Caenorhabditis elegans: one gene and its partners. The protein of the gene in region 3 purifies or fractionates together with the protein of the main gene of each other region. This does not show direct contact. Each region holds a gene or a part of one and is shown on either strand. Other genes may lie near its edges. The genes, in order: dgn-1, taco-1, K10G4.3 and rep-1.

Region 1 (6,908 bases), on a different chromosome or scaffold from region 3:
ACAGTCTGTTGGCGGCTTCTCGCTACTTGCCTTCTCGCGTACGGTTTATGGCTCTTCTTAACTCAGCTCCCTTTTTGCATTTTTATAAACAATTGTACTCTTGCAGGCCTTTGAGCAAGGAGTCTATACACTGTATAATGATATGAATACGGAAGGAAATTAGCAAATGAGAGAATCAAATATACGGTTACATTGATATTCAAAGTGTGTGAAGCAAGGTAGAGAAAAAAGGTGAATAAGAGCAGAGGTGCAAAGGAAAGAGTTACAAATCAATTGTAGTGCAAATATTGCGTTTTTTGTTGGATGACCCTTATTAACCGTTCACACATCTTTCATTGAAGAAAGGAGAGTGATAAAGTAATATAGGGAGAAGAGAAGAAACATTCGAATATAAAATTGAAAACCATGTCGGTAGAAGAAGAACAACTTTAAAATTCATATACAACGGCAAAGTTTTTTCTAAAACACTTCTAAAAAACTAGACATTAAACAAAAAATTTTGTTTTTTTTTAATTCTGGGTAGATGAATGCGTTTTTCAAGTCAAGTCATAAATAGTATTTATTTATGAAGATAAAATATTTTTATTTTTCAAATTGTTGAATTTTGAGCAGGAGTAAAACTAATTTTCTAAATATTATTGTAACTTCAGTTTTAAATTACATTTTCTCAAGTATCAATTTTTCCTATAATAAAAAGAAAGGGTATAGAACTCTACTAGCCATTTGGATAAAATATGGAATACAATATAATTATAGTAATTAGAACGATGTATACGAGCATAATTAGGCGAAAGGCGGCCCATACAACTCGCAAAATATAGTTCTTACTGTTCTCCGAAGATGCGCGCCGTCGACAAGGTAATACCGACTGAGGCTGTTCAGATATGCCTAACAATGCCCTCACGACATTTTCGAGATCGCATAATTGTCGTCGAGAGCGGTAATCCTGGGAATCTGTGGGACATACGGAAGGTAAAAAGATTGAAGACGTGAGACGAGATGGTGACACAAGAAAGAGAAAAATGAGAGCAGGTGTACATTTGACTGACACTAGTGCTCCGTTGACAACCTGTGACTGAGGATTACCTTATTTCACAAAAAGAACACACAAAAACCCAGTGAGAAATGATCGTCTCAGTTCATTGTTCTGACACCTTTCCGTGCGCGAAATTGGTTGGATTAACGTCCAGTGAGGAACGTATTGAAGATGAAACGAACGTGCTAATTAAATGAACGATGAGGATGATGATGGGTGCCGTTTGCCATCTATTAGGCATGGATTACCTGGCTTAACGTTCTCGAATTGCTTGAATCGACAGCCACTGTGCAAAGGGTAATTGTATACACTTCTAACACGGGAACACCGGAGACAAAACGTACTGCTAAAACTGAGACTAACACGCCTATTGTTCTGGTTTCGTACTTCGACTGCTAGTAGTCAGCGCGTTCGTCTCATTCTCATTGTCCGGATCCCCATGTTGACAGGAACCAAAAGTATTAGACTTTTGTTTTTTAATAAAAAAATGAAACGGTAAATCATGAATCATTCCTCAAATATTTTTCAGCCACCAGCTTCCATTAAGTCAATTTTGACAATTTTTCCAAAAAAATATTTGGTGTAAGAGCAAAAAAAAAGAAAGTGATATCACAAGAGATTAATTGAAAAATTCCTGAAGCACACTCCTGTGAACAAGCTAAAGTTTTTTGGTCGCTCACAATGAAGCGGACATAAATCATTATCAGACTAGAGGATTAAAAGTTTGTAATGTTGCGGTAAAATCTTTAAACTATATAAGCATAATCAGAGAAGTGCAAATTTAGTTAATTCAAAATGTTAGATCATAAATTCAGTTATTCAATGTGACCGTATTCATATTAATTTGGAGCCGATTTTCTCATAAGCTGTTGAAAATATCTATTCACCACCGGGCAGATCGTAAACCATCTGATTGAATACAGATTTCCTTATGTAATCTATCCGTATTGTGCAATACTTTTGACGCGACAACGAGGGCAAGAAATGGCACTGTGTGCAGCTGCGCGCGTTGAAGCAGATGCTTGTAACGACATAAAAGAGCTCCTGCGTTGAAGAGATGGCACACAAATGGGGGCACGATTCCATCACATATCATCAAATTGAGAAGAGTCAAGGAATGGACAAGGACGTTTGGACAGAAATCAGATTTGGATAGCGTAGATTTCGAGTAAAAAACCCCGCGTCAAAAAAGTTTCCTCAGCAAAAAAGAGAAAGTTGTGCGTATGGGTAGGGTCAAGCACGAGGCAAGCCCTGTTGACCAAACATATAAAGTGAGAGGCGAAAAATGTGGGGAAGGACGGAGATGGTCCTATTTGGTCGGCTCAACCTCATAAAGTTGCGTCACCGTACCTGTGGCCAGGTGTGTGCAGGATGGAGCAAACGAGGAGGCAACGATTGGAAGATAAGCCTAATGACTGGGTGTTCAGACGTACAATGCGGGTCCGTTTGGAACAATTACAATTTTTCTTGGTCAATTCAAGACGGATGGTGATATTTATAAGGATGAAAGAAGAACGGATGACGAGAGCTAATCAGAAATGGACATGCGATACGTTACGGCTACGAAGAGAGAGGAGGAGGAAAATGGCATGCAACATTTGAGCAGTCTAATAAAGCCGAACACAGATGAAGAACGAAGCGGTGGCCAATATTCAATCTGCATAATAAATAAGCGATCCGTACAAACAAAGACGTTTCCTTCGTGGTCTTCCGTCCTTCCGACACTCCCTACGGACCATGAACCGACCGACATAAGAAGGCCAGCTCCCACGGGAGCTTTTGGTATGGTGTCTCGAATGAATTTTGCATATAAATAGAAGAAACCGACCGAAACATATTGAAAACGGAGATTCGATTTATTTTCCATCTTATCTTTTATTGAGTCAGTTCAGAGGGGTTTCAATTGTCACTTTGACACCTTATTAGCAACCGAACAAAGAGTGCCGGATTTGCTAAGTGAGTGTAAAAACAAGATTATAAAAACAGTGGGCCTTCTTATTCTAGTCTTTTGAATGTTTTGATTGACGTAAGATCTTGGGCCACTTTGTTTCTTTTGAGAATTGCGAAGACGAACATTGTTGAGTAAAATTTAGTAGGGACGAAATTTTTTGAGAATAACAAAACATTTTATGTGCGCCAAAACTTTTTTCGATTTTTTGGTTCTTCAAAAAACTGAAAAACGGAAATTTTCGCTTTTGAGAAAACTGCAAAAACAAATTCTGAAAACACTCCAAAATCGGTATTTTTATACAGAATGCAATATTTTTATTACTGATGACGCCCTATTTCATACAAACAACATACATAAATTGCACTTTTTCAAACTGGACCCTAATTTTTTTTCGATTTTTTGGGTTTTTCGGCTTTTTGACCCACACCGCAAAATTGAAAAACCGAAAAACGTGAAGAACGGAAAACAACATTTTTTGTTAAGATTTAGGTTATTTAGAGAAAAAACTCGGTTTTTCGAAAAAAAAAAACTAGCAGACAATTCATATAATACCTAAAAACCAGGATGTTTTCGAGTTAAGTGAATGTTTCAAAATAAGGACGTCACTCTGAAGTCGTACGAAAATTTTTTTTGAAACACCTATCTCTGTACACATATGAGTAGTCACAACATTTGTGGCTTCGTACACCTTTGAAGTGTTTTTGAATGCACAAACATGACGCCGCTTTTTTTGGATTTGTGCCAAGAAGCAGAATAAGTTTTTCAGGCAAATACAAAAGAAAACATCTCGTTTTCTGTGTACAAAACTACATATATCAGGAAACGAGATTTAGTAAAACATTTTATAAGACTAAAAGAATTGTTTAGTTACATAGGAAAATTTTTTTAATGCCTCGAAAAACTTCCGGGCACGCGTTCGAAACTGGCATTAAAAAAAGTCTCACCTCTATGTGTTTATCAATAAGCCGGGACTAAAAAATGGGTGCGCCAAATTGAAATTTCGTTTTCGATTCTAATCACAAGTTCGGTTCAATACACGTTGTCGTTCTGAAAATCGAAAGTAACTTTTGCAACATATACGTTCAAGACATGAAATGGAGCGGAAAACTTCAAAAAGGGGTGTCCTTTTGAAACTTGGCAAAAAGCGATTTGTATCAGTTGACAGACTAATTTACGATAATGTACATATTGAAGAAACTTTCAAATTGGAACTTCTGAGATCTGATGAATATAGGTTTTTCAAAAAAGAATAAAAAAGCTAGCAATGTGTATAGTTTTGATGTGAAAATAAATATCGTAAGAGAAAAAGAAACACTGTCAGTTGCATACCTCATAAATATAATCAAGGAGGTATTGAAATTGCCGAAAAAACGGTTATCAGAGGAAAGAGATAGCAAGTACGAAATGAAGAATGCAACCTGGAAAATTCGCTTTCTCTTTTGTTGCATCCCTCCTTGTTGATAACACACTATGAATGTGGTTTTGACAAGAAAAACATACGCACACAGTTTGAAGCATTTTTTTTTCTTGTCACCAACCATTCGGATGAATTATACCCGAAAATGTGTGTACACTCGTTGGAGGATAGGGGAAAAAGAGAAAATGGTCAAGGTAGGTAAACAGAAAGCTTTCATAAACGTTTTTCTTACCATTTTTTTGCCTTTTCTTGGGCATAAAAGTTAGAGTTACTACAATGAATGTCAGTGTGGTTTGTACTATTTTCTGCATACGCAGAGGGAAATCAAAAATATCAATAGAGCGAAGAAAAGCGGTGAGTTTCAAAAAGGCTCTTCCCATGAAATATAACCCCCATTGTAATTAAAATTCTGAAAAAAAAACCAGAGTGCAATGAGTTTTTGAATGCGCCGTCTATATGCGTGGCAAGGGAATACAGCTATTTTCATTTTATCATATGTATATTTTCATATCTATATGAAGTTTGCAAATATATAAAACAAATTTTTTACTAATTTCGAAGAGCACATTTAAAAAAGTTGAAATTTAAACGAAGATATTAGATTGCAAATATCAATCTGTAGTTTTGTTTGATTTTGAAGTTATTCAAAACATAAAACGGTAATGGATTTTCAAAAGAAATAAAATAGAGTCTAACAAAACAGAAAATTAGGATTTCCAACAATTTTTGCTTTTGATAAGACACGCTAGATGTTGTTGATCATAAAGCCACGGTAATCATTGTCCTGGCCAAATGTAGAACTAATTAAATTTTGCGACAAAGTCCCTGTTGTCATAAAAATGTGATTTTTCCAGTCCTACGTTATTTAGAATTTAACACGATCCGTCCTGCTATTCAAGGAAAAATAAAATCAGGGCGTTTCTTGTTAGTGGTTTCTCGGTATGTGTGTCCAATACACTAATTACTCGATGGTGATTGAAATCAAATATCAAGACAGGAAAGAGGACACGAGTAACTGATAAAGGTCAAATGCACATTAAACTTAACGCACAAAAAGTTAGGCAATGTCGTAGAAAGTGGTGTGTGAGGAGATAGAATGGTGAGTCAGGAACGGTAGAGGGTTTTCTATTCGAAAGAATAAAAATCTGTTTTCTAGTAAAATTGAAAAGAGTGAGAGATTGAGAGAAAAATAATGGAATAAAATCGGAATGGTGTTTACATCATTTCCATATTAAAATTTTGAATTGGAAATTTAAAATACAAACTACTGGTACATATAGGAATATGAGATACTTTGAATTTTCAAATTTACAGTTTAGATATAACTGCATAATAATACCTTTTGAAAAAGATTCTTATACTTCTTCAAGGTCATCAATTAACAGAAACAAAACAAAAAAAAAGATTGCGTGGTTCAAAGATATAGTTTCATATTTCTTGCAATTGCATTCAAAAAGCAAGCAAAATGACCTTCCGAGTGAAGCGAGTAAAAAACGAGGACCAAGCCAGTTTGACCAAATGTCTCACTATTATATGATCCGATTCGTAGACTGCAACGATGAGAATAATAATTGTAGAGTATCAAATGAATAGTGGGGCAATTTTGAAAGAAGAAAAGTGGAATGAGAGGAAAATAGCCAATGGTCACAATGGCTAAAAACGACCACATGAGGCTCACGTCCCTGTATTGACCACTAATGAAGATAATTTAAGTGAAACGTTTAAATAATATGATTTGGTCGGTTCACAATAATAAAAAATTAATTTCTCGTTGTATTTAGTTAACTAATGGAATTACGCTCATAATTTTTCCGATCCTGCGGAACTTCAGATAAATAATTTTTTGTCATATTATGACATGTGCATGCAGTACAGAATAAAAATGCAAGATTATTACAATTTGGCAATTTGTTTCGAATATTTACTTCACTGGAGAAGTATGTTGTTCAATTACTACTAATTATCAAAATTAAAACATTCTTAGGAAACGAAAAATTGACTACCAAAAATAATAATGAACTAAGAAAATTTTTGAAAACAATGAGCTATATCCATATCCATCGGAGCCAATGTTGACACTACAACCTGTCGAGAAAACAAAGTGAAAAGTGGATATGCATGCAGGAGGTGTCCGGTTTCGAAACCGATTGAATTATCCTAATGAATTTGGCAGCGAAATACAATAACGTAAAGAAGCAAAAGTGATGGAACAGAACGTAGTGTTTTGCTCCGGCCGGCATTGACATGGTCAGTGCACGCTAAGCCAGATGACAAATAAGAATGTCATGGTTACGGCGGGTTACGAACCCGGGTCACAGTTGAAATGTTTCTCAACAAGCGGAGACGTTTTATGGATGTCGCATTCTTCTGGATTCACACTTTTGAATTCTTAGAAAATTGAAAGTTTAGAAGAAGTATCGAAAGTAAAACGCAACCTTCTTTTGTTGATACTTTCAAATAAACAGAAGAAGATTTGAGATTTATGAGTAGGAACAAACGTGGAA
Region 2 (9,710 bases), on a different chromosome or scaffold from region 3:
ACGAGAAACTCGAATTATGTGCATTTTCAGTCAATTTGGAAGTTTATGGGTTACTGTAGCTCCAAAAGTACGCAAACACCGTCTAGCACACCAAATTTTACGACAATATGCAGAAAATCCCTATAAATCGAGTTTCCGGAATTAAAAATCACGAGAAACTCGAATTTTGTGCATTTTCAGTCAATTTGGAAGTTTATGGGTTACTGTAGCTCCAAAAGTACGCAAACACCGACTACCGTATCCCAGCGCGCACCAGATTTCACGACAAAATTTGCAAAAAAAAAGCTTCAAAACAAATGAAATTTTAACATTTTTTGGAGTTTTTAGTGAAAAAATTGCCTAAAAACTACCAAAACTTGATGATTTTTCCAGAGAAAATGATTTTCTGACATTTGACGCAATGCGACACACTGCTCAATGTATGGGACGAGCTCTCCGTTCGAAAACTGATTACGGATTGATGGTATTTGCTGATAAGGTATAAAATAAAGAGATTTATCGATTTCCCGAAAAAAAATCAGAAAAATCAGAAAATTCTCGATTAAAAAATCACGAAATTTAACCAGAAAAAGTTGTTTGAAAATTTTTTGGCAATTTTTCAACAAAAAATGTGTCCATTTTGTGGGCGTGGCATGAGAATTTGAAAAAAAAGCTAAATATTGATTTTTTTCACTGGAAAATCAGAACACTTTGAAATAATTTGCACAAAATTCACTAAAAAACCTGAAAAGCTAAGCAAGTTTTTTTTCCATTTTAGCTGCAAAAAATATTCAAAAAAATTTTTGGATTTTGGTAGAAAAATTCCACGATTTTTGTTAAAAACATATCGAAAGTTCACTAATGTTCATAGTTTCAAACTGATTTTTTTCAGCTTGAAATGCGCTGAAATTCTGATGTACCATGTGGCAAATGTGCTATGTCGGCGATTTTTGTGCGGAAATATCAAATTTTAGCATTAAAATATGCAAAAATTTGGAATTTTCACCCGAAATTGCTCACCGGGAGCACATTTGACCACTTTCCCGGGGAACCTCTGCCCAAATTTTCATTTTTTTTTTGGACGGAAAATTCGGAAAATGATTTGAATTGTAGAGATACTCTGAAAAAATCTGAAATTGGCTGAAAAAAATAGCGGAAAATTGAAGAAATACGAAGAATTTCACCAGCTGCCCAATTTTCTGAAATTTTTATTAGAAATCTGCCAAAAATCGCAAAAAATATAGTTTTTCGTCCCCAAAATTGAAAATTTTCGCTTAAAAATGCGAAATTATTTTCAAAATTCAAAATTTTGAAGCTTTGAAAAGTGACCATATAATGGGCGTGGCTTGTGATGCTCCGCCCATTTTTCTAGAGAATTTGAAAAATATTTTCCGTGGCAAATGTGTTATGTCGGTGATTTTTGTGTGGAAATTTCAAATTTTAGCATAAAAATATGCAAAAATTTGGAATTTTCACCCGAAATTGCTCACAGAGAGCACATTTGACCACTTTCCCGGGGAACCTCTGCCCAAATTTTCCATGTTTCCCCTCAAAACTTGTAATTTTCTTCAGAGATTCTCCCGAAACGACAAACGTGGAAAATTGCCCCGCTGGATGCAGGAATACCTGGAGCCAGCTTGTACCAATCTGAGCATTGACGAAGCGGCACAAGTTGCCAGGCGTTGGCTCACACTAATGGCTCAGCCATTCGAAAAGGAGCATCAGCTGGGTGTTTCGTTGTTGGATAAGGAAATGGTTCACGATTCGCAGATTATGAAGAGATTTGAACGTGTTGTTGAATATGTTGATTAGATTTTTTTTTTGATTTTTGAGCTATTTTTCATGGAAAATTTGTAAAAATTTGAGAAAAAACCGTGAAAAATGAGTGAAAAACAAAAAAAATCGCTAAAAATTGATATTTAAGCCAATTTTCAGTGAAATTTCTCAAAAAAAATCAAATTTTTGGGTTACTGTAGCCCCAATAGTACGTAAACACTAAAATTCCCGTTCTTCAGTAAATTTTCGCAAAAATTTAAGTTTTTTGGGTTACTGTAGCTCCAAGAGTACGCAAACACTGTTATGGGCGTTTTTCAGTGAAATTTCTCAAAAATCCGAATATTTTCGGGTTACTGTAGCTCCAAGAGTATGCAAACACTGTTATGGGCGTTTTTCAGTGAAATTTCTCAAAAAAAAATCAAATTTTTGGGTTACTGTAGCCCCAATAGTACGTAAACACTAAAATTCCCGTTCTTCAGTAAATTTTCGCAAAAATTTAAGTTTTTTGGGTTACTGTAGCTCCAAGAGTACGCAAACACTGTTATGGGCGTTTTTCAGTGAAATTTCTCAAAAATCCGAATATTTTCGGGTTACTGTAGCTCCAAGAGTACGCAAACACTGTTATGGGCGTTTTTCAGTGAAATTTCTCAAAAATTCGAATATTTTAGGGTTACTGTAGCCCCAAAAGTACGCAAACACTGAAATGCGCAATTTTCAGTGAAATTTCTCAAAATTTTCGAATTATTTGGGTTACTGTAGCCACAAAATTACGCAAACACTACAATGTCCGTTTTTCAGTGAATTTTCTCAAAAATTCGAATATTTTTGGGTTACTGTAGCCCCAAAAGTACGCAAACACTGAAATGTGGAATTTTCAGCGAAATTTCTGAATTTTGACCGTAAAATTGAATTTCTTAATTTAAAATTAATTTAAAATTTAAAATTGCTAATTTTCTAGATTTTTCACTGGAAAATGCTCTTTTTTTTTCTCATTTTTTCCATGGAAAATCTCAATTTTTCCCCGATTTTTTATTAATTTTCCCTCGTATTTTACCATATTTTACCAGTTTTCCTCCATTAATTTATTAATTTTTTTTTGAAAATGTTCTCAATTGTATCTCATAATTTTCGTTCTCCTTTTGAAAAAAATCACCGGTTTTTCAATTTTTTTTCCGATTTTCAGCCAATTTTCGGTTTAAAATGGTAGTTTTTACCTGAAAATATCGATTTTTCCGGGATTTTTCCCTTGAAATTTCAAAATTCCCCCAATTTTTTGCAGATGTTCTCCCCGCTCCGTCGGCTCACCACAACGGGTCTCCAGCTCCAGAAGCTTCAGAAATTGCAGAAGCTCCAACAATTTCAGCCGGCGAGAGCTGTGCATTTGACGGTTTTTCAGCAGAAGGGGCACTCGAAATGGCAGAATATTAAGGCGGTGAAGGGAAAAAATGATTTGATTCGGTCGAAGGCAACCAACTTTTTACTCAGAAAGGTAGGTTTTCGGGTTACTGTAGGACCAAAAGTACGCAAACACCGAGAAAAGCGAATTTTCGATTAAAAACCATGAATATCCAGCGATTTTTAGTACGGTAGCACCAAAAGTACACGAACACTGACTGCCGTACCCCAATACACCAGATCTCACGGAAAAATGCAGAAAATCCAAATAATTGGGTTACTGTAGACCCGAATGTACGCAAACACGGACTACCGTAACCCAGTACACCAGATCTTACGGAAAAAAACAGAAAATCCGAAAAATTTAGGTTACTGTAGCCACAAAAGTACGCAAACACCAAGATTTTACGATTTTTTTGCAGAAAAATTGACAATTCCCATCAGATTTCTCAAAAATACAAGATTTTGGGTTACTGTAGCAACAAAAGTACGCAAACACGGACTACCGTAACCCTGTACACCACACGTTACGACAAATTGCAGAAAATCCATAAATTTGGGTTACTGTAGCCTCAAGAGTACGCAAACACAGACTACCGTACCCAATACACCACACCTTACGAAAAAAAGCCGAAAATTTCAAAAAATTAGGTTTTCGGCGTAAAAAGTACGAAAAAATGGAGTTTAAATACGAAAAATTGAAATTTTGCTCAGAAATTCCTAGAAAAAGCGATTTTTTTTTCCAGGTCCGTGGAGCAGTATCTCGTGGCGGGTTCGACATGAAGCTCAATCGAGAACTCGCTGATTTGGAGTCCGAATTCAGAGCACAAGGACTTCCACTGGACACGTTGAAGAACTTTTTGCAAAAAATGAAGGTATAATAGTGAAAAAATGAGGAAAAATGATGAAAAATCGCAGAAAATGCAATTTTTTTCGCAAAAAAGAGTGAAAAAACTTGATTTTTAACCTAAAAACCGCAAAATTTTGTCTATTTTTCCACAAAAACTCCAAAAATCCCCCGAATTTTTGCAGGACAAGCCCGAAGTAGAATACTCGTTCGATATCATTGGACCATCTGGAATATTCCTTATCGTAACCGCCGAAACTTCGAACAAAAAAGCGTTTGAAAACGATTTACGGAAGTATTTCAACAAGTTGGGCGGTTTCCGGTTGGCAGCTGATGGTGGTGTTCGTAGTTGGTTCGAGGAGAAGGGTGTTGTGCATGTTGACACGAAAAAAGGCGGAAAAATTCTGAATATTGAAGAAGTACGGGCGATTTTATGCTGAAATTCTGTTTTTTCCTGAAAATTTGGAGCTTAACGGCGTTTTTTTTGGAGTTTCTAGGTCAATTTTGAGGTTTTTTGCGTTACTGTAGCTCTAGAAGTACGTAAACACTAACCAGGCACCGAATCTTACGACAAATTGCAGAAAATCTAAGAAAATTGAAATGTTTTATCCAACTAGGTAGAAACGTACTTAATAGTGAAGAATTTGGGTTTCTAGCTCAATTTTAAAAAAGTCCGGGTTACGGTAGCCCCGAAAGTACGCAAACACCGATTAGGCACAGAATCTTACGAGAAATTGCAGAATTTATCTGAATTTTAATTTTAATCGGCTAATTCTTACCTGAAAGCATTTTTATCTAAGGTTTTAGCTTAATTTTGAGGTTTCTTGGGTTACTGTAGCTCTAGAAGTACGCAAACACCGATTGGGCACTGATTCTTACGACAAATTGCGGAGTTTGCTCAAATTTTGAATAATGCTCTTTTTTCTCCTTCCTGGTAGCATTTTTATCTGATATTTCAGCTCAATTTGAAATACCCGGGTTACTGTAGCGTCAGAAATACGCAAACACCGGCTTGGATACGACAAATTGCAGAATTTATATGAATTTCAATTTTAATCGGCAAATTTCTGCCTGGATTCCTTTTTATCGGAGTTCTAGCTCAATTTTGAGATTTTTCGGGTTACTGTAGCGCCAGAAATACGCAAACACCGACTAGGCGCCTAATCTTACGACAAATTGCGAATTTTTTTGTAATTTTGACTTACGCGGCTTAATTCAACCTGAAACCGTTTTTGTCTGAGGTTTTTGCTGAATTTTGAGGTTTATTGGGTTACTGTAGCTCCAGAAGTACGCAAACACCGATAAGGCACCGAATCTTACGACAAATTGCAGAATTTATTTGAATTTTAACTTTAATCGACTACGTTCTGCCTAAGATAATTTCTATCTGAGTTCTAGCTAAATTTCGAAATTATCCGGGTTACTGTAGCTCTAGAAGCACGCAAACACCGACTAGGCATCATATTTTACGACAAATGACAGAAAATCTCGCAAAACGAGGTTTCCAGAGTGAAAAATGACAAGAAACACGATTTTTTCTATAAGAATGCGCAGTTTTTCAGCTGAAACTAGATTTTTCTCGAAAAAATCTTTAAAAACTTAATTTTTGGGTCAAATTCGCTGAAAATGCGCGATTTTCTCAATAAAAATTGGCAAAGAATGAAAAAAATTCAGTTTTTCACGTAGAAATTGAGAATTTTCGTTCAGAAACGGGTTACTGTACCGTCAAAAGTACGCAAAACCGACTACCGTACCCCAATACAATACACCAAATCTCACGGAAAAATGCAGAAAATTTCTAAAAATCGGAGGTTTTCGGCTTAAAAGAACTAAAAAAACGGAAAAATCTCAGTTTTAGACTGAAAACTCAAAATTTGTGACTGAAAATTGATTTTTCGAACGGTGATTTTGAGGTTTTTTGGGTTACTGTAGCTCTAGAAGTACGCAAACACTGACCAGGCACCGAATCTTACGACAAATTGCAGAAAATCTAAGAAAATTGAAATGTTTTATCCAACTAGGTAGAAACGTACTTAATAGTGAAGAATTTGGGTTTCTAGCTGAATTTTGAGGTTTATTGGGTTACTGTAGCTCTAGACGTGCAAACACCGATTAGGCATCATATTTTACGACAAATGACAGAAAATCTCTAGAAATCGGCTAGCTGGGGTGAAAAATAACGAGAAACACGATTTTTCGACTGAAAATTGATTTTTCGAACGTAAAATTTATTTTAAAACAGCTCCCGGCGTGATTTTCACCAGGAAAATCGGTTTTTAACTCGAAAATTAGTGAAATTTTGGATTTTTCATCGATTTTTGTGTTTCAGATGGAAGAAATCGGTCTGGAATTCGATGCTGAAGAGGTTTTACTGATTGAAGAGGACTCAACGAAGAAATTCGAACTAATTTGTGATGCAAAATCACTTCAAACTCTTGAAAACGGCCTCGGAAAGGGTGGATTCTCGATTTTACAGTCGGAAATTGAATTCCGACCTGTTCATCCAATTGATTGTCCTGAAGCTGAGGAGCCAAAGGTTCAGAAGTTGTATGAAATGCTTCAGGTACTGGAAAAACTAAAAATTCCGGGAAAAACTCGAGAAAAAACTAAGATTTTTGGACAAAAAATCAAAAAAAAAATTGAAAAAACCGAGAAAAATTGCAGAGAAAGTTGTAGAAAATTCCGTAATTTTTTAAAAAATTCAGAAAATTTAAAAACTTAAAAAAATATATTAGACAATTTTTTTATTCCAGAAAATTCAAAAAAATATTCCGGAAATTTTCAAAGAATTCAGAAATTTTAAAAAAATTTGAAATTTCAAGAAATTCCACAAATTTCTTTAAAAAATCCAAGAAATTCTAAAATATTTCAAAAATTCCAAAAAATTACAAAAAATTGCAGAAAATTTCTAAAAAATTCGAAAATGTGTTGAAAAGAATGTCAAAAATGAGAAAATTCAAAAAATATCTCAACAAATTCGAAATTTTCCAAAAAATTCCAAAAAGATTTCAAAAAATTTCAGATATTTCTAAAATGCATCAGAAAATGTTTTTTTTAATCAGAAAATTCAGGAATTTTCCAAAAAAATTCTTTAAAAATTCCATATATTTTCAAGAAATTTGAGAAAATTGTAACAAATTCCAGGAAATTCCTAAAAAAAATGTTTGAAAATAAAAAAAAAAGTTCCAGACAATTTCAAAACTTTTTCAAAAATTCCAGAAAAATTAATAAAAATACAGAAAATTTAGAAAAATTCTGGAAATTCCAAAATTTTTCGAAAGATTTTTGGAATTCTATGGTAATTTTTTGAAATTTTCCAATTTTTGACATTTTTTCAATACATTTTCAATTTTTTTCTGAATGTTCTGAAATTTCAGAACATTCCTAAAAAATGTCTGAAATTCTGAAAAGTTCAAACATTCAAAAATATGTTCGACAATGTTTTTTCAATTCCAGAAAAAATTTCTAAAAAGAATCAGAAATTTTTCCAAAAAATATAGGAAATCTCAAGAAATTCCAGAAATTTTCTGAAAAATCCGCTAATTTTCGCAAAAATTCCAAAAAATATCAAAAAATTCCATGAAATTTCAAAAAATTCTAGAAATTTTTTTTTTCAAGAAGTTCAGAAAAAATTTCTAAAAAATTCCAGAAAATTTCCGTAAAAAATCTAAAAAATTTCAAGAAAATTCGAATTTTTTTCATTCCAGAAAATGTTTAAAAATTCCAGAAAATTTCAAAAATATCAAAAAATTCCATGAAATTTCAAAAAATTCTAGAAATTTTTTTTTTCAAGAAGTTCAGAAAAAATTTCTAAAAAATTCCAGAAAATTTCCGTAAAAAATCTAAAAAATTTCAAGAAAATTCGAATTTTTTTCATTCCAGAAAATGTTTAAAAATTCCAGAAAATTTCAAAAATATCAAAAAATTCAAAAATGAGAAATTTTCAATAAATTCCAAGAAATTACAAAAAATTCCATAAAATTTCAAAAAACTTCAACAGTATATCAGAAATTTTCAAGAAATCCAGAATATTTCGAAAATATTTGAGAAAATTTGTATTTTTTATTTCAGGAGGACGAACAAGTACGCCAAATTTTCGACAACATCACACCAGACGAGTAGCCGATTTTTTTCAATTTTTCATTGAAAAAAGCCGGAAAAGCGGAAAATTTCCATTGTTTTTTCTCTATTTTTAGTCGTTTTCCCATCAGAATTCCATTTTTTAAATCTTTTATTTTATTTTATTTATCAGTTCAATAGATAGGATTCCCGCATTTCTTGTTGTTTTATTGAGTTTTTATTGATTTTTTAAAATTGAATTCCACCTGTTTTTTTTGTTAGTATAAAGCTATAATTAAAAAAAAAAAACTGAAATGTCCATATTTTATTGTCCATACAGCTTCCGAATTGCTCGAATATCGTATTTTGACAATTGAATTTTTCCGATTTTTGCTGGTTTTCTGTAATTTTATACTTTTTTTTGGGATTTTTGGGGTAATTCTTTAGAAAAATTTGATTTTTTGCACCAAACTTTTTGAAAAAAGAAAAACTTTCTAGAAAATCTGACAGCAAATTTCAAATTCTGGCATTTTTGAGCTGAAAACTCTGAAAAATTCCATCGAAAATACGAAATTTTTGGAAAAATCCCAAAAGGTCAGCTTTTTTGGGCTGAAAATAATTTTTTTTAAATAAAATTTGAATTCAAAAATATCCGGCCGAAAATCGATAATTGCCAGGTTTTGCAATAATACCAAATTTTTCCCAAAAAATGGTACTGTAACTCTTTTCAGCGGTGGACGGCAATTTTATTTTACGGAAAATCGGCAAGAATTGACGATTTTCGATTCCGGCAACTTGCCGATTTGCCAGAAATTTTTGATTCCGGCAATTTGCCGATTTGCCAGAAATTTTCATTTTTGGCAATTTGCATATTTGCCGGAAATTTTCATTTTCGCCAAATTTGCCGATTTGTCGGAAATTTTCGATTCCGGCAATTTGCAGATTTGCCAGCAATTTTCGATTCCGGTAATTACCGATTTGCCGGATAATTTAATTCCCTGCAAAATGCTGATTTGCCAGAAGTTTTGATATTCGGCAACTTGCCGATTTGACGGAAATGTTCATTTTCGGAAAATTCGCCGATTTGCCAGATATTTTAGTTTTCGGCAAATTGCTGATTTACCAGAAATTTTCATTTTCGGCAAATTACCGATTTGCCAGCAATTTTCGATTCCGGCAATTTGCAGATTTGCCGGAAGTTTAAAATTCCGCCAATTTGTCGATTTGCCGGAAAGTTTTAATTCCGGCAATTTTCCGATTTGCCCGAAATTTTCAATTCCGCCAATTTGTCGATTTGCCGGAAATTTTCAATTTCACCAATTTGCCGATTTGCCAGAAATTGTCAATTCCGGCAAGTTACCAATTCGCCGGAAATTTTCAATTCAGGCAATATGCCGATTTGTCGGAAATTTTGAATCTCCGCAATTTGCCGATTTGCCGGAAATTTTCAATTCCGGCAATTTGTCGATTTGCCGGAAAGTTCTAATTCCGGCAATTTTCCGATTTGCCCGAAATTTTCAATTCCGCCAATTTGCCGATTTGCCGGAAATTTTCAATTCCGCCAATTTGCCGATTTGCCGGAAGTTTAAAATTCCGCCAATTTGTCGATTTGCCGGAAAGTTTTAATTCCGGCAATTTTCCGATTTGCCCGAAA
Region 3 (4,897 bases):
TCTAACGAAAATGCCTCTTCTACGCACTTCTACACTGTTTACCTTTTATATTTTATTACTTTTAACATCATAATGTGACATCATAATGTGAAATTTTCGTTTTGAAGTAGAGTCCTTTAGTTTTTTGCTTCAAATTATCAAATGTGGGTCGCAATGTCCGAATATAAATGTTAAAAAATTATAGAACGCTCATAAATTTTTAATTATTTTTTTTTATTTTGCAACAAAAAAAATTAGAAATGACTGAAATTTTCGACTTATTTTAAATTGCAGCGCAAACGTGTATAACCTTTCGTTTTTGCGTTTTCTGACAAAATTCATTAGTTTCTTTTTCTGATTTTTCCTTAAAAAATTGGTTGTCTAACGAAAATGCCTCTTCTACGCACTTCTACACTGTTTACCTTTTATATTTTATTACTTTTAACATCATAATGTGACATCATAATGTGAAATTTTCGTTTTGAAGTAGAGTCCTTTAGTTTTTTGCTTCAAATTATCAAATGTGGGTCGCAATGTCCGAATATAAATGTTAAAAAATTATAGAACGCTCATAAATTTTTAATTATTTTTTTTTATTTTGCAACAAAAAAAATTAGAAATGACTGAAATTTTCGACTTATTTTAAATTGCAGCGCAAACGTGTATAACCTTTCGTTTTTGCGTTTTCTGACAAAATTCATTAGTTTCTTTTTCTGATTTTTCCTTAAAAAATTGGTTGTCTAACGAAAATGCCTCTTCTACGCACTTCTACACTGTTTACCTTTTATATTTTATTACTTTTAACATCATAATGTGACATCATAATGTGAAATTTTCGTTTTGAAGTAGAGTCCTTTAGTTTTTTGCTTCAAATTATCAAATGTGGGTCGCAATGTCCGAATATAAATGTTAAAAAATTATAGAACGCTCATAAATTTTTAATTATTTTTTTTTATTTTGCAACAAAAAAAATTAGAAATGACTGAAATTTTCGACTTATTTTAAATTGCAGCGCAAACGTGTATAACCTTTCGTTTTTGCGTTTTCTGACAAAATTCATTAGTTTCTTTTTCTGATTTTTCCTTAAAAAATTGGTTGTCTAACGAAAATGCCTCTTCTACGCACTTCTACACTGTTTACCTTTTATATTTTATTACTTTTAACATCATAATGTGAAATTTTCGTTTTGAAGTAGAGTCCTTTAGTTTTTTGCTTCAAATTATCAAATGTGGGTCGCAATGTCCGAATATAAATGTTAAAAAATTATAGAACGCTCATAAATTTTTAATTATTTTTTTTTATTTTGCAACAAAAAAAATTAGAAATGACTGAAATTTTCGACTTATTTTAAATTGCAGCGCAAACGTGTATAACCTTTCGTTTTTGCGTTTTCTGACAAAATTCATTAGTTTCTTTTTCTGATTTTTCCTTAAAAAATTGGTTGTCTAACGAAAATGCCTCTTCTACGCACTTCTACACTGTTTACCTTTTATATTTTATTACTTTTAACATCATAATGTGACATCATAATGTGAAATTTTCGTTTTGAAGTAGAGTCCTTTAGTTTTTTGCTTCAAATTATCAAATGTGGGTCGCAATGTCCGAATATAAATGTTAAAAAATTATAGAACGCTCATAAATTTTTAATTATTTTTTTTTATTTTGCAACAAAAAAAATTAGAAATGACTGAAATTTTCGACTTATTTTAAATTGCAGCGCAAACGTGTATAACCTTTCGTTTTTGCGTTTTCTGACAAAATTCATTAGTTTCTTTTTCTGATTTTTCCTTAAAAAATTGGTTGTCTAACGAAAATGCCTCTTCTACGCACTTCTACACTGTTTACCTTTTATATTTTATTACTTTTAACATCATAATGTGACATCATAATGTGAAATTTTCGTTTTGAAGTAGAGTCCTTTAGTTTTTTGCTTCAAATTATCAAATGTGGGTCGCAATGTCCGAATATAAATGTTAAAAAATTATAGAACGCTCATAAATTTTTAATTATTTTTTTTTATTTTGCAACAAAAAAAATTAGAAATGACTGAAATTTTCGACTTATTTTAAATTGCAGCGCAAACGTGTATAACCTTTCGTTTTTGCGTTTTCTGACAAAATTCATTAGTTTCTTTTTCTGATTTTTCCCAGCGTGCTTTTTTTCAATGATATCGATAATTACCTTATTGCGAAATGAAGTTTTTGAAATTTTTTGATATTTCAGATGCATTTACGCGACTTGGATATCTTGATAAAATTAACAAAGCATTGGATGACTGAGGAACTAACCGATCATATGAGCTACAACAGAGCCATCGAATGGGATAAGCTCATTATTAAACTTGAAAAAGTTCCAAAAAAACTGTCTCTTAATTCTGTAAGTTGTTTTCTTACGATTTGCTCGTTATAAAGATTTAACTTTTCTTTCAGAAAAAGTATTTAGCAATCCTTGTTGATGAATTCTGCATGGATACGCCAAGATACGGAATTAGCCCCTGGTTTGCTCACTACATCCTATGCTATTGCAAACATAATCTGGACGACGCTCGCGAAATATTAATCGCCAATAAGTGGAAATTGGAAAATATTGAAGAATCTTATGTGAGTTTTTATAATTTTATTATGTGCGAAAGGAAAAATGGGTTGAATACTGGATCGGTTTTACTGTTAGACCTACCAATCGGCGCTCAAAAAAAAAAACGAAAAAAACATATTTTTTTTTGAACGCACCGTTTTTATTTTAAAAATACTCCCTTTCGCATTTGAAACAGACGTTTCTCCACTTTTGATTCTTGCAATTTTCGCAAAATTAATGTGATTTTTTCAGGAAAAAATTTCCGAATTCCAAAGACAACTAGACTTGAATCGTAACAACCAAAACAATGACAAAATTTATGAAGCCATTAAAAAAGAAAAAGAAAAGATCAGGAAGAATGTCTATGAAAGAAATGAACAGTTGCGAGACTTTAAGAACATTCCATACGGATTCCAGCCAACCTTAGAACTTCACAACCTTATGCAGGACCAGATTGAGGATTTCATCGAAGAATATCTTGGACAGTACTTGGAAAAACTTGGAAAACTTGGACTTGGAAAAAAATACAAAGGTTAGTTGCATTTATAAACATATGAAATAATTTCAATATTAAAAATTAAAGTCTGGTCGTAAATAAATCTAAAAAGGGTGCGCAATGAGTAATAGTTTCTGTTAAAAGATTAAGAATTTCCTGGGTTTGAAGTTTTAGAAATTCAAGCTTACTAAACGTTTCTAATTTCGTACTTTCTTCTTATTCTTAATGTCTTAAGAGTTTTAATTTTAGTTTTTGATTCGTTGAAATAACCTTTTAGTAAAAAAATATAAGTAAACTTTAGACAGCTCTGATAGAACATTTTATTGACCAAAAGCGACCTAGGTCTCACGATGCTCAAAACGCAAAAAAAAAAACGAAACGTGTCTCAAGAATCAATTATTTGTCGCGTAAAGCCTTTTGATTATGTAATACTTACAGAAATTACAACCATAGTTGGCAAAGGCAGTAGCTCACTAAACCAAGTTCCAGTAATAAAGGAAAAAGTGATGGCGATCTATGGAAGAAGAGTCCGCGAACACTCCAGCAACGGAGGCATACTTTTCTTCACAATTTAATACTTAAAAATCACTTTCAACCTTTAAATATTCATTGCTAAATCAAAACTTAACGTTTCTCCAATTTTACCGACTCCAATTTTACCATAACGATAAAAAAAATTAAAATTTTGAACCAATAATAATTAAACAGTCGAAATTAAACAACAAAAAAAACAAAATTTCGAAACATCCCCTAACTTGTATAAGCCCCACGTTCCCAGTCGCCTTATTTTCATTTTATTGTACGTCGCCTCTTCTCGTAAACTCTTTCTTTGTTTCACTTCCCCACCCAAGTTGAACCGCTGAGGATTAAATCTGAGCTAGTTTAGTTATTGCCTATTCAAATTTGATTGATCAATGCAATTTTTGTTCCCGTTGTTTAGTTGTATTGTTAAATATTAATTTTTATGTTTTTAATTTAAATTACTTTGTTTTTATTCACCATCATAATTTTATCGCCCACTCTTTAAGTTTTCAGCACTTTTTAGGTTTCTTCTTTTTTATATTTCCTGGCGAGTTCCCAGTGGGGATATCCGTATTTATTGTCAAAGTTTCCGTCTACAAGCACTTTTAAATTCTCAATTCGCTTGTCACCTCATTTCGTGTTGCACGAAAAAAGGTTGGCGTATTCCTTGTTTCCTTTGCTGGAACGTTTATCGTGTACTTGCTTGAAAATTTTGTCAATACTTTTCATATTCTTCTCTATGTTATATTTGATTTTGTTTCTACTTTTTTTTGCTTTGCATTAGCACTTTTGTGTGCAACTTCTCTTTATATTTTAAGATTTTGTCCAAATAAACATTATTTAAATTGAAATATTGTGTTCTCGTGTTTATTTTCAGAATTTTTCGCATTTGTCAAGAGAATATACAGACAAGAAGCAAACGTAATACAGGCACGTGACAAGCGTGAAACATGCACATGGTAGGTCTGACGCAGGTATGCCGGTTAAAGGTTCCTGGTATTATCTGAACCATATTACAATTTGTATTTAAACATTTTCCGATATAAAAAGTCATACAGATACATAGATTGGAATATATATTTTGTGTTTTGCTAATAATCTAAAAACCTTTGCTCATTACGTTTGTTTTGATGACAAGCATGATGATGCATATTTTTGAAATACCTTGTCTGAAAAAACATATGTAAAAATGCTTTCGGTGAAACTGAACGTATAACTGAACGTCCAATTTCATATAAAACGAACAACATACTTCTAAAATGCCGAACGGCGACTCAGAATATTATGACTACGTTGGTTTTGAGGATTTAGATGGAAAAGAAAAGA
Region 4 (9,620 bases), on a different chromosome or scaffold from region 3:
CCAGCGGCGCGTGCTGCACCGGTGGCGCAGTGGCTAAGAGGTTTGCCTTCGGAGCAAAAGGTCGGGGGTTCGAGTCCCCGCAGTGGTATATAGGTTTTTTATAGCGGAGATTTCGAATTTTTTACCAAAAATCTATTAAAATATGAGAAATTAACCAAAAAAACCCATTTCCCCGTAGATTTTCCTTAATTTTTAGTGAATAATTCGAAATCTCCGCTATAGGAAATCTAAATACCCCCACGGGGACTCGAACCCCCGACCTTTTGCTCCAAAGGCAAACCTCTTAGCCACTGCGCCACCGGTGCAGCACGCGCCGCTGGCTGGGAAACCGGTGGCGCAGTGGCTAAGCGGCTTGCCTTTGGAGCAAAAGGTCCCGGGTTCGAGTCCCCGTGGAGGTATTTATGTTTTTTATAGCGGAGATTTCGAATTTTTACTTAAAATCTATGGAAATCTGCCTAGAAATGGATTTTTTCGTAAAAACCTCGGGGTTTCGAAGTTTTTTCTTAAATTTTTTGTAGAAATCTCACCTTTAAGTCCTCCCTCAGTCCTTTCGCTATCTCCATCTGCCATTTTTCCGCAAATTTTGGCTCGGCGAGCAAAAACTTGATGGCTTGTTGGGACGCCAATTCTAACACTACTTCTTCGTCCATTTTTGCTTAAAATGAGGGGGTTTTGGGCTGAAATGATTAAAAATGTTCAAAAAGTAAGTAAAAAAATAGGCTGGAAACCCAGAAAAAATCGATAAAATCAATGAAAAATGGTTAAATATTCTTCAAATATTTACAAAAAATGCACAAAAAAGTGAAATATCGCCAAAAAAAACGGGAGTCTGGGGGTAATTTTACATGGAAAACTCGAATTTTCAATTAATTTTCTGCAATTTCTTCAGTTTCCGGCTCTTCCTCTTCTTCCTCCTCTTTTTTCATGGCTCTTGGCAAAAAGTCGAGCTCGGGCCAAGTTGTGCAGAATAGTTGGCGGCACTGGAAAAAATGGATATATAGCAGGTGTTTAAAATTCAGAAAAATCGATAAAAATTGAATTCAAAAAAATTTTCGAAAAAAAAAATTTTCTGAAAAATTTTTCAAAAAAATTTTTTTTTTTTAATTTTTATATTTTTTCGAAATTTTTTTTTCTAATTTGAATTTCTAATTCAATTTCAGCTCAAAAATCCAATTTTCATCGTTCTTTCGCCCTAACCTCCTCCACCACACTAGCATAGTGTAAATTCGCATCAACTGGCGGCGCGACGACGACATTTTCGGCTCCGGCGGTGTCGAATTTCATGGAATTCGCGGTGAAGCTCATCTTCCAGTAGGGTTCCACTTCTGAAATGCAGAAAAAATATCGATTTTTCTAGGAAAAATCGAAAAACTCAAAAATATTAAAGAAAAACCGGGTTCCAAGCCAATTTTCGCGAATTTTAAGTGAAAAATTCGAAATCTCCGCCCTGAAAAACCTAAATACTCCCACGGGGACTCGAACCCCGGACCTTTTGCTCCGAAGTCAAGCCTGTTAGCCACTGCGCCACCGGTGCGCCGAACCAGCGGCGCGTGATGCAACGCGTGGCGCAGTGGCTAAGCGGCTCGCCTTTGGAGCAAAAGGTCCGGGGTTCGATTCTCCGTGGGGGTGTATAGGTTTTTTATAGCGGAGAATTCGAATTTTTCACTTAAAATTGGGGAAAATTCACTTGGAAATAATTTTTCTCAAAATTTCACTGAATCCTTGCTGAGATTTCAACTCTTGGAGTCTCTATTTTAGAACTTTGAAGCTTAACATATATTAATAGTTCAAAAAAATGGATTTTGTATCATTTTCGAGCGAAAATTTCAGGAAACTAGGTTGTAACTCAATTTTTGCGAATTTTAAGTTAAAAATTCGAAATGTTCGCTATGAAAAACCTATACACCACTGCGGGGACTCGAACCCCGGGACCATTTGCTCCGAAGTCAAGCCTGTTAGCCACTGCGCCACGGGGTGCAACATGCATCACTGGTTAGCTGCAACGCGTGGCGCAGTGGCTAAGCGGCTCGCCTTTGGAGCAAAAGGTCCAGGGTTCGATTCCCCGTGGGGATATATAGGTTTTTTATAGCGGAGAATTCGAATTTTTCACCTAAAATTAGGGAAAATTCACTTGGAAATGACTTTTCCATGAAAGTTTCTCAAATTTTAAGCGAAAAATAGGTTTTCGGTAGTGGAAATTCAAAATTTCCCCCTAAAAATTCCGCGAAAATCACCATTTTTTTCAAAAATCTTCTCTGCAATAGTCTTGACACTTGTTTCTCCTTCTTGGGTACCCGTTGCATGCACCAGAACTGCAAAAAAAAAATCTTTATTTTTCTAGGAAAAAACGTGGGGGCTTACAGTGTCCTTTCGGAGCCGTACAGGCTTCAAAGCCCACTTCAACAAGCCGTGAGACTGCGGCGTCGGGCCGGAGAGATGCCAGATTGAGGAGGGTTAGCTGAAAATTTTTTCGGATTTTTAATACGAAATTCGAAATCCCCGCAAAATTTCACTCTAGAATTATTTTTTCCCAGGCTTCTAGCTCAATTTTGAAATTTTCGGGGTTACTGTAGCGCCAAAAGTACGCGATGCCCCCGTGGTGTTTGCGTACCTGACACCGAATTTTACGAAATTGAACCCAAATTGGCTTAAATTTCAGTTACGGGGTAAATTGGCAACGGGGAATTCGAATTTTGCATTGAAAATCAACTAGGAGCACTGGTTTCTCGAGTAAAATTAAATTTTTCTCGAAAACCAGTTGACCAAGGTGGTTTTCAATGCGAAATTCGAATTTCCCGTTGCCAATTCACCCCGGAACATGATTTTCAGCCAATTTAAGCTCAATTTCGTAAAATTCGGTCTCAGGTACGCAAGCACCGAGGTCAACGTACTTTTGGCGCTACAGTAACCCCAAAAATTGTAACATTGAGCTAGAAGCCCGGGGAAATTGAATTCTAGAGTGGAATTTTGCGGGAAAATCGAATTTCCTGGTGGAAAACTCCAAAAAATGCTCCGGAACCTGTTCTTTCTCGGCTTCTTTAATCGATTTATCCGTCGCATAGACGATTCTCTCGATTTTCAGCGTACTACTAGCTGGAACAGTTTCGGGGACAAATCTCGGGGACATCACGATGTAGCGACAATTTACACGATCTCCATTGGCAATTACAGCCGTAATTCTGGAAATTTTTGAGAAAATTGGTTTTCCGACAAATTGAAAATTTGGGCATAGCTTCCGCATCTCCGAGTGACAAATGTGCTCTATTGTCAAATTGTTGGCAGAAATACGGTATTTATTCACATTTTCAGCACAATTTAAGGCTGAAAATGTGAATAAAAACAGTTTTTATGCCATCAATCTGGGTAGAAACACATGAGTCACGGAATATTGTATAAAACTAGTTTTGCTGGGAATTTGACTTGAAAATTAGGTCAAATTTCGCAGAAACTATTGATTTTTCGCTTATTCTCTTCACTAACTTTCCATCTTTTTTCACGATAGCCTGTACAGGCCGTCCCAGACAATATAAGCTCCCAAAGACTGCTGCCAGCCGGCAAAAGCACTGTGAGAGCTCTCCACATCCGTAGAGTGGGAAGAGGAATGGCGATGGACCGAAATGGCCGACAGAATCCATGAACTGGCATGATGCCAACATTCCCTGGAATTTGGAAAAATTTTAAATTTTGAAAAAAATTTTTTTTTTTTTTTGAAAATTTGTTTTTCTCAAAATTTTTTTCAATTTCAAATTTGACATGAAAATCAACTCGAAATTCGAATTCTCCACATCACCAGCTTCCAAATGACACCCATCATGCCCATGATCCATCGATTTTGAAAATTTTGGGTCCCGCCACGAGGGGTACTGTAGCACCGGTTTCAGCTGTGTCGGAGCGCAAACTGCACGGAAAATGGGCATGATGGGGGTCATTGTAAAGCTGAAAGCGTTAGAGATTTGAATTTTTCAAAAATTTTTAGCAAAATAGACAAAATCAACATTTTTTCGAAAAAAAAAATAATTTTTTGCTCAAATTTTTTTCAATTATAAATTTCTTTTCAAATCGACTCAAAACTCGAATCCTCCACATCATCATCTTTCTAAAGACCCCCATACTGCCCGGGTTCCGATGATTTTGAAAATTCGGGTCTCGCCACGCGGGGTACTGTAGCACCGGTTTCAGCTGTGTCGAGACTGCCAAAACTCAAAATCAACGGACCCCGGGCATGTTGGGGGTCATTTTGAAGCTGAGAGTGGCGAGAATTCAAATTTTTCAATAATATTTTGAAAAAAATTGAAGTAAATTTCGTGCAAAAAAAAAAATTTTGGATTTTTTTTTCATTTTCAATTTTTTTAGAAATTCAGATTTTTTTCTAAAAAACAGTAATTTCCGCATATTCACCGTCATCGCAGTGGGTCTTTGCTGTAAAATGCCGATCGTATTAATAATAAAGCTCTGCAGGGTCTTTCCAACGCCCATTTGCTCCAAAAACTCTGAAAACGGGCGGTCGGCGTGCTCGGCGAGCAGTTTTCTGCCTTCTTCCGTGTCTTTTGTGCTCCATTGTGTGCAGAATGTGATGAATTTCATAAGAGCTCGCTTTTCCAGGATTCTGGAAGAATTTTTGGAGATTTATCATTGCGAATCGATTTTTTTGGCAAAGAAAATCGATATTTTATCGATTTTCAGCCTAAAAAAATCCCTTACGACAAAGCATTGCTCTGAAAAATCTCTCCTTTGCTACATGGCACCGGATTTAGGGTAATTCCGGCTTCTGGGGTCTCTGTTGGGCATAGCTGCCGGTTGACAAGCTTAAACTCGGCATAATGGGATACTTGGGAGTCACAGAGTGTTTGAACCTGAAAAAATTCAAAAAATTGGAAGAAAATCGTTTTTTTTTTCCAAATTTTTTTCAAGATTTTCAAAATTTTCCCATAAATTTTTGTCAAACTTTTCAATATCTGAAAATAATGCGGAAATTCGAATTTTTCGACGCTCTCAGCTTTCGAATGACCCCCAACATGCCCCGGCTCCGTTGATTTTGACTTTTGGAAGTTTTGACACAGCTGAAGCCGGTGCTACAGTAACCCGCGTGGCGAGACCCAAAAAAATCAAATTGCATGGAACCAGGGCATGATGGGGGTCATTTTGAAGCTGGTGATGTGAAGATCTCGGAAAAAATGTTAATTTTTGAATATTCTGAAAATTGACAATTTTTTGGAAAATATTTTTCAATTTTTTTAAATTTTCGATATTTCAGAAAACTAGCAAATAATTCGAATTCTCCACTTTATCAGCTTTCAAATGACCCCCAACATGTCCGTGGTCCGTTGATTTTGAATTTTGGCAGTCTCGACACAGCTGAAATCGATGCTACAGTAACCCGCGTGGCGAGACCCAAAATTTTCAAAGCGGTCGGAACCTGGGCATGTTGGGTGTCATTAGACAGCTGGTGGCGTAGAGAATTCGAATTTCAGAGTTTTAAATGAGGAAATTGAATTTTTAGAAAAATTTTTCTTTTTTTTCAGAAAAAAAGTTTCAAAAAAAATTTTTTTTTTGGCAAAAATTGATTTTTTGATGACTATTAGGGCAAAACATCAAGTTCTCCAATTTAGGTGTAATTTTGCAATTTTGTACCATTGCTCCCTTGGAAAGTAGAATTTTCGGCACTAAATCGATGGAAAATCGCCGCATTTGTGAAGCCTCTTCCAGTTGCGTTTTCATCGGCTTTTCCTCGTCTTTTCCACGTGGAATCCACGTCATTTCAATGTTTTCCACGATTTCTCGATTGCCGAGCTCAATGAGCTGCTCATTTTCAGTCAAAAGCTCTGATAACTTGGAAATCTCCGAGGAATCCAGCTTTTTTACCTGAAAATTCGGAAATTTTGGGGTTTTTCTGGCTGAAAATCAATAAAAACCTGATTTTCAGTCACTTCATGAACCATCGACATTGTGAATGATGACCAATCACCGCCGTAGTACTCATTTCTGCAAAAATATTTTTTATTTCGAATTTTTCAAGAAATCGAGTATGAAATTCGAATTCCAGACGTTATCAGCTTTCAAATGACCCCCAACACGCCTAGGTTCCGTGCATTTTGACAACCGACACAGCTGAAATCGGTGCTACAGTAACCCGCGTGGCGGGACCCAAAATTCTCAAAGTAGGCGGAATATGGGCATGATGGGGGTCATTTGAAAGCTGGTAACGTGAAGATTTCAGAAAGAATTCTGATTTTTTAAATTTCTGAAAATTGAAAAATGTTTTGGCAAATATATATTTTTTTTTCTTAAAATTTGTTTAATTTTCGATATTTCCGAAAACGAACAATTAATCTGATTTCTCAACGTTATTAGCTTTCAAATGAGCCCCAACACGCCTAGGTTCGGTGTATTTTGACAATCGACACAGCTGAAATCGGTGCTACAGTAACCCGTGACGGGACCCAAAAAAATCAAAATCAATGGAATATGGACATGGTGGGGGGTTATTTTAAAGCTAGTGACGTGGAGAACTCGAATATGATATCAGTTGGCTGACATTTTTCGAAAATTGGAAACTTTTGACGTTTTCCGAAAAATTTTCCACAAACTTGGTCAGAAAATTTTTACTTTCTGATTTTTCCCGAAAATTAATGTGATATTTGAATTCATCAGGTTCTCAGCTTCAAAATGACCCCCATCATGCCCAGAATCCGTTTATTTTGGGTCCCGCCGCGAAAAACTACAGTAACCCGAGGAGTTTTCGTGGCGGGACCCGAAAACTTCAAAACCAGCGGAATATAGGCAATTTGGGGATCAAATTGAAGCTGGCGACGTGGAGAATTCGAATTTTGCTGTATTTTTGAGGAAAAGTTATGATTAAAAAAAAAATTTAGCCGAAAATAATTTTTTTTTCGCAAAAATTTTTTTTTTTTCAATTTCATTCATTCATTTTTTTAAACTTTTTTTAAATGTTAGTTCGCCTATTACCTATCTAAATGAAGCACAGATAAGCCAGCTCGAGCACAAGCTGAAGCCAGAATGGCTTCAGGTAGTCCGGTGCCCAGCACCACTACGTCCACTGATTCTGGCAACTTTTCGTCCATTTTTTAGAGCTGGAAAAGCTGGAAATAGTTTGAATTTTTGGAAAATAAGAGATGTCATGCTTAAATTTGAAAAATTGAAAAAAACCAAAAAAAAAAAAAATTTTTTTGAAAATTTTCCAAAAAAAATTTTTTTTTCTATTAAAATATTTGATTTACGGCTGAAAACCTTTAAAAATTAACTAAAAAAAGTGGAAAAAACACGAAAAATCTTCATTTTCACACACACACACAAAACTTAACAAAAATGGCACGGGACGGGGGGAAGAGTTATAATATTTTTTTCAAATTTTCTGAATTTTTGCACAAAAAATAAACTTTAAAGGAAATGCTACACGTTGTGTCATTAAAATGTTAAAATTTACAACAAAAAATAAGGGGAATCTAGCAACAAAATAAATCAATTGTTTGGGAAAAAAATTGCGAAATTTCCAAAAAAAAAATTTTCTCAAAAAAATCAATAAAAATCCAGAAATTACATCCTTTCGTAGAGTCGATGAGGTTTGACACGTTCGTAGAATAGCATATAACTTTGACAGGCTGCCACGTGGGAGTACGGTACACGGGTTACCTGAAAAATTATACAAGTTTTCGGGGGAAAAATGAAAATTTGGGCATAGCTTCCGCATCTCCGAGTGACAAATGTGCTCTATTGTCAAATTGTTGGCAGAAATACGGTATTTATTCACATTTTCGGCCAATTTAAGACTGAAACTGTGAATAAATACAGTTTTTATGCCACCAATACGAGTAGAAGCACATGGGTCACGAGAAAATGTTTAGGAAGGGAATATTTAGGAAATTCTGTGAATTTTAATAATATGTCGTTTTTGTGACAAAGGCTCTTCGTTGACTGGAAATTCAAATTTTCTGAGAAAAATAAATTCGAGAAAATTCTGGAATGTTCCAAAACTTTCTAGAGAAATCGGGAAAATTCTGAAGTGTTCAATTTCGTGGAAAATTTCAGGAACCTGCAAATTTCTAGAACCTTTCGGAAAGTTCAAAAAAAAAAACTTCTTCAAGTTTTGATACTCCTAGAATATTCTGAAGTTTCAATAATTTGAAAAAAAAAGATCAAAATTGTTATAATTTCCAGAAACGCTCGCCAAAAACTCTCGGAAAGGACCGGAAAAAAGTTTTATATGATTTGAAAAACGTTTTTTTTTAGTTGTAAACACTCAGCTATATAATATTTATGTTGCTCGAAAACTTCCGGAAAACAGAAAAAAAACGTTCCATCTACAGAGAAAGGCTTAGAAATTTTAGAATTTGATTTCAATTTTGAGTACGCCAGTCGGAGCACGCGCTTCAGCGCGTTCGAACGGCTGGTATATATATATTAGGTCTCCAAATAAGTTCCGGGTCAAAAATCATAACTTTGTTCGCTGCGTATCGATTTTTATGAAACTTTGGGAATTTACGTTATCAACCATGATCTTTCACTTGACAATAGTCACGAAAGTTTTTGACCACCCCAAGTGTCCTAACGCGGAGCCAATTTTTTCAGGCATTTTTCTGATCTCGCTTCTTTTCAGTTTTCAATTGAGCTTTGTGTGCGGATTTTGCTTTGTTTAGATTATTAGAAAACAACAGAAGTTTGGAAAAAAATCCGCCCAAAAAAAAATTTTTTTGGTTGGTCGTCAAAAAATGTTCAAAATAATTTTTGTCGAAAATTCTAGATTTTTCCTACAAAAATGATGTAACCAAGTGTAAACTATTTTTCGACATACAAAACATATCAACTTAGTTCGATACACTAAAATGATAGTAGAAAATACAATTTTTTCGGATAATTTTTTAGTTTTTTGAATATTTCTTGAGATTCAAATTTTTAACTCAAATGATTTATATGTGTAAAAATAGTTTACACTTGGTTACATCATTTTTGTAGGAAAAATCAAGAATTTTCGACAAAAAAAAATTTTTTGGGCGGATTTTTTTCCAAACTTTTGTTGTTTTCTAATAATGTATTCTAAACAAAGCAAAATCCGCACACAAAGCTCAATTGAAAACTGAAAAGAACCGAGATCAGAAAAATGCCTGAAAAAATTGGCTCCGAGTTAGGACACTTGGGGTGGTCAAAAAATTTTGTGACTATTGTCAAATGAAAGATCATGGTTGATAACATAAATTCCCAAAGTTTCATAAAAATTGATACACAGCGAACAAAGTTATCAATTTTGACCCGGAACTTATTTGGAGACCTAATATATATAATTTACTATATATAAAGCGCTTATTCCGTTTGTCCATAGTTTGTAGTCTATGTAGTCTTTGTAGTCTGCGAAGTTTTAGCTTCTGGAGGGATAGTGAGTTGGGGTTAGTGTAGGGATATAGTCGGGGTACTGTAGTAGTGGTACAATGGTGGTACGGTAGGAGTACTGTATGATTACGGTAGTTTCAGAAACATTGGTTTTCAGCAACAGAAGTCGGGGGCCGCGCCGGAGGTGCGGTCCACGGCTGGTATATAAATACATATATATATATATATATATATATATATATATATATATAAGCATTTGATCGCTAGAAAGCTTAAAG

The links.
Region 1: the proteins of K10G4.3 (region 3) and dgn-1 fractionate together in Caenorhabditis elegans (co-fractionation; one large-scale study listed by BioGRID). This does not show direct contact.
Region 2: the proteins of K10G4.3 (region 3) and taco-1 fractionate together in Caenorhabditis elegans (co-fractionation; one large-scale study listed by BioGRID). This does not show direct contact.
Region 4: the proteins of K10G4.3 (region 3) and rep-1 fractionate together in Caenorhabditis elegans (co-fractionation; one large-scale study listed by BioGRID). This does not show direct contact.

What each region holds. Positions count from the first base shown.
Region 1 is NC_003284.9:10,924,965-10,931,872, forward strand, and holds the start of dgn-1 (Dystroglycan 1), read right to left. Parts: upstream 4,035-6,908; 5' UTR 3,932-4,034; intron 2,856-3,931; exon of another isoform or gene 2,651-2,855; intron 1-2,650.
Region 2 is NC_003281.10:281,083-290,792, forward strand, and holds taco-1 (Transcriptional regulatory protein), read left to right. Parts: upstream 1-3,034; coding exon 3,035-3,244; intron 3,245-3,896; coding exon 3,897-4,025; intron 4,026-4,182; coding exon 4,183-4,416; intron 4,417-6,326; coding exon 6,327-6,560; intron 6,561-8,068; coding exon 8,069-8,119; 3' UTR 8,120-8,381; downstream 8,382-9,710. Other genes in the region: xpd-1 (General transcription and DNA repair factor IIH helicase subunit XPD), read left to right, coding at 373-478, 1,552-1,791; Y50D7A.13 (Peptidase metallopeptidase domain-containing protein), read right to left, coding at 8,382-8,457.
Region 3 is NC_003283.11:17,262,259-17,267,155, reverse strand, and holds K10G4.3 (uncharacterized protein), read left to right. Parts: upstream 1-2,200; 5' UTR 2,201-2,202; coding exon 2,203-2,355; intron 2,356-2,408; coding exon 2,409-2,579; intron 2,580-2,805; coding exon 2,806-3,090; downstream 3,091-4,897.
Region 4 is NC_003281.10:1,567,786-1,577,405, reverse strand, and holds rep-1 (Rab proteins geranylgeranyltransferase component A 1), read right to left. Parts: upstream 7,101-9,620; 5' UTR 7,083-7,100; coding exon 6,967-7,082; intron 5,983-6,966; coding exon 5,913-5,982; intron 5,863-5,912; coding exon 5,632-5,862; intron 4,854-5,631; coding exon 4,702-4,853; intron 4,607-4,701; coding exon 4,399-4,606; intron 3,660-4,398; coding exon 3,481-3,659; intron 3,180-3,480; coding exon 3,020-3,179; intron 2,459-3,019; coding exon 2,362-2,458; intron 2,313-2,361; coding exon 2,235-2,312; intron 2,074-2,234; exon of another isoform or gene 2,001-2,073; intron 1,977-2,000; exon of another isoform or gene 1,904-1,976; intron 1,632-1,903; exon of another isoform or gene 1,556-1,631; intron 1,535-1,555; exon of another isoform or gene 1,462-1,534; intron 1,326-1,461; coding exon 1,198-1,325; intron 981-1,197; coding exon 867-980; 3' UTR 768-866; downstream 1-767. Other genes in the region: Y22D7AL.7 (Talin_middle domain-containing protein), read right to left, coding at 528-650; Y67D2.2 (Ubiquitin carboxyl-terminal hydrolase), read right to left, coding at 7,555-7,650. UniProt on the Caenorhabditis elegans protein: Substrate-binding subunit of the Rab geranylgeranyltransferase (GGTase) complex. Binds unprenylated Rab proteins and presents the substrate peptide to the catalytic component B and remains bound to it after the geranylgeranyl transfer reaction.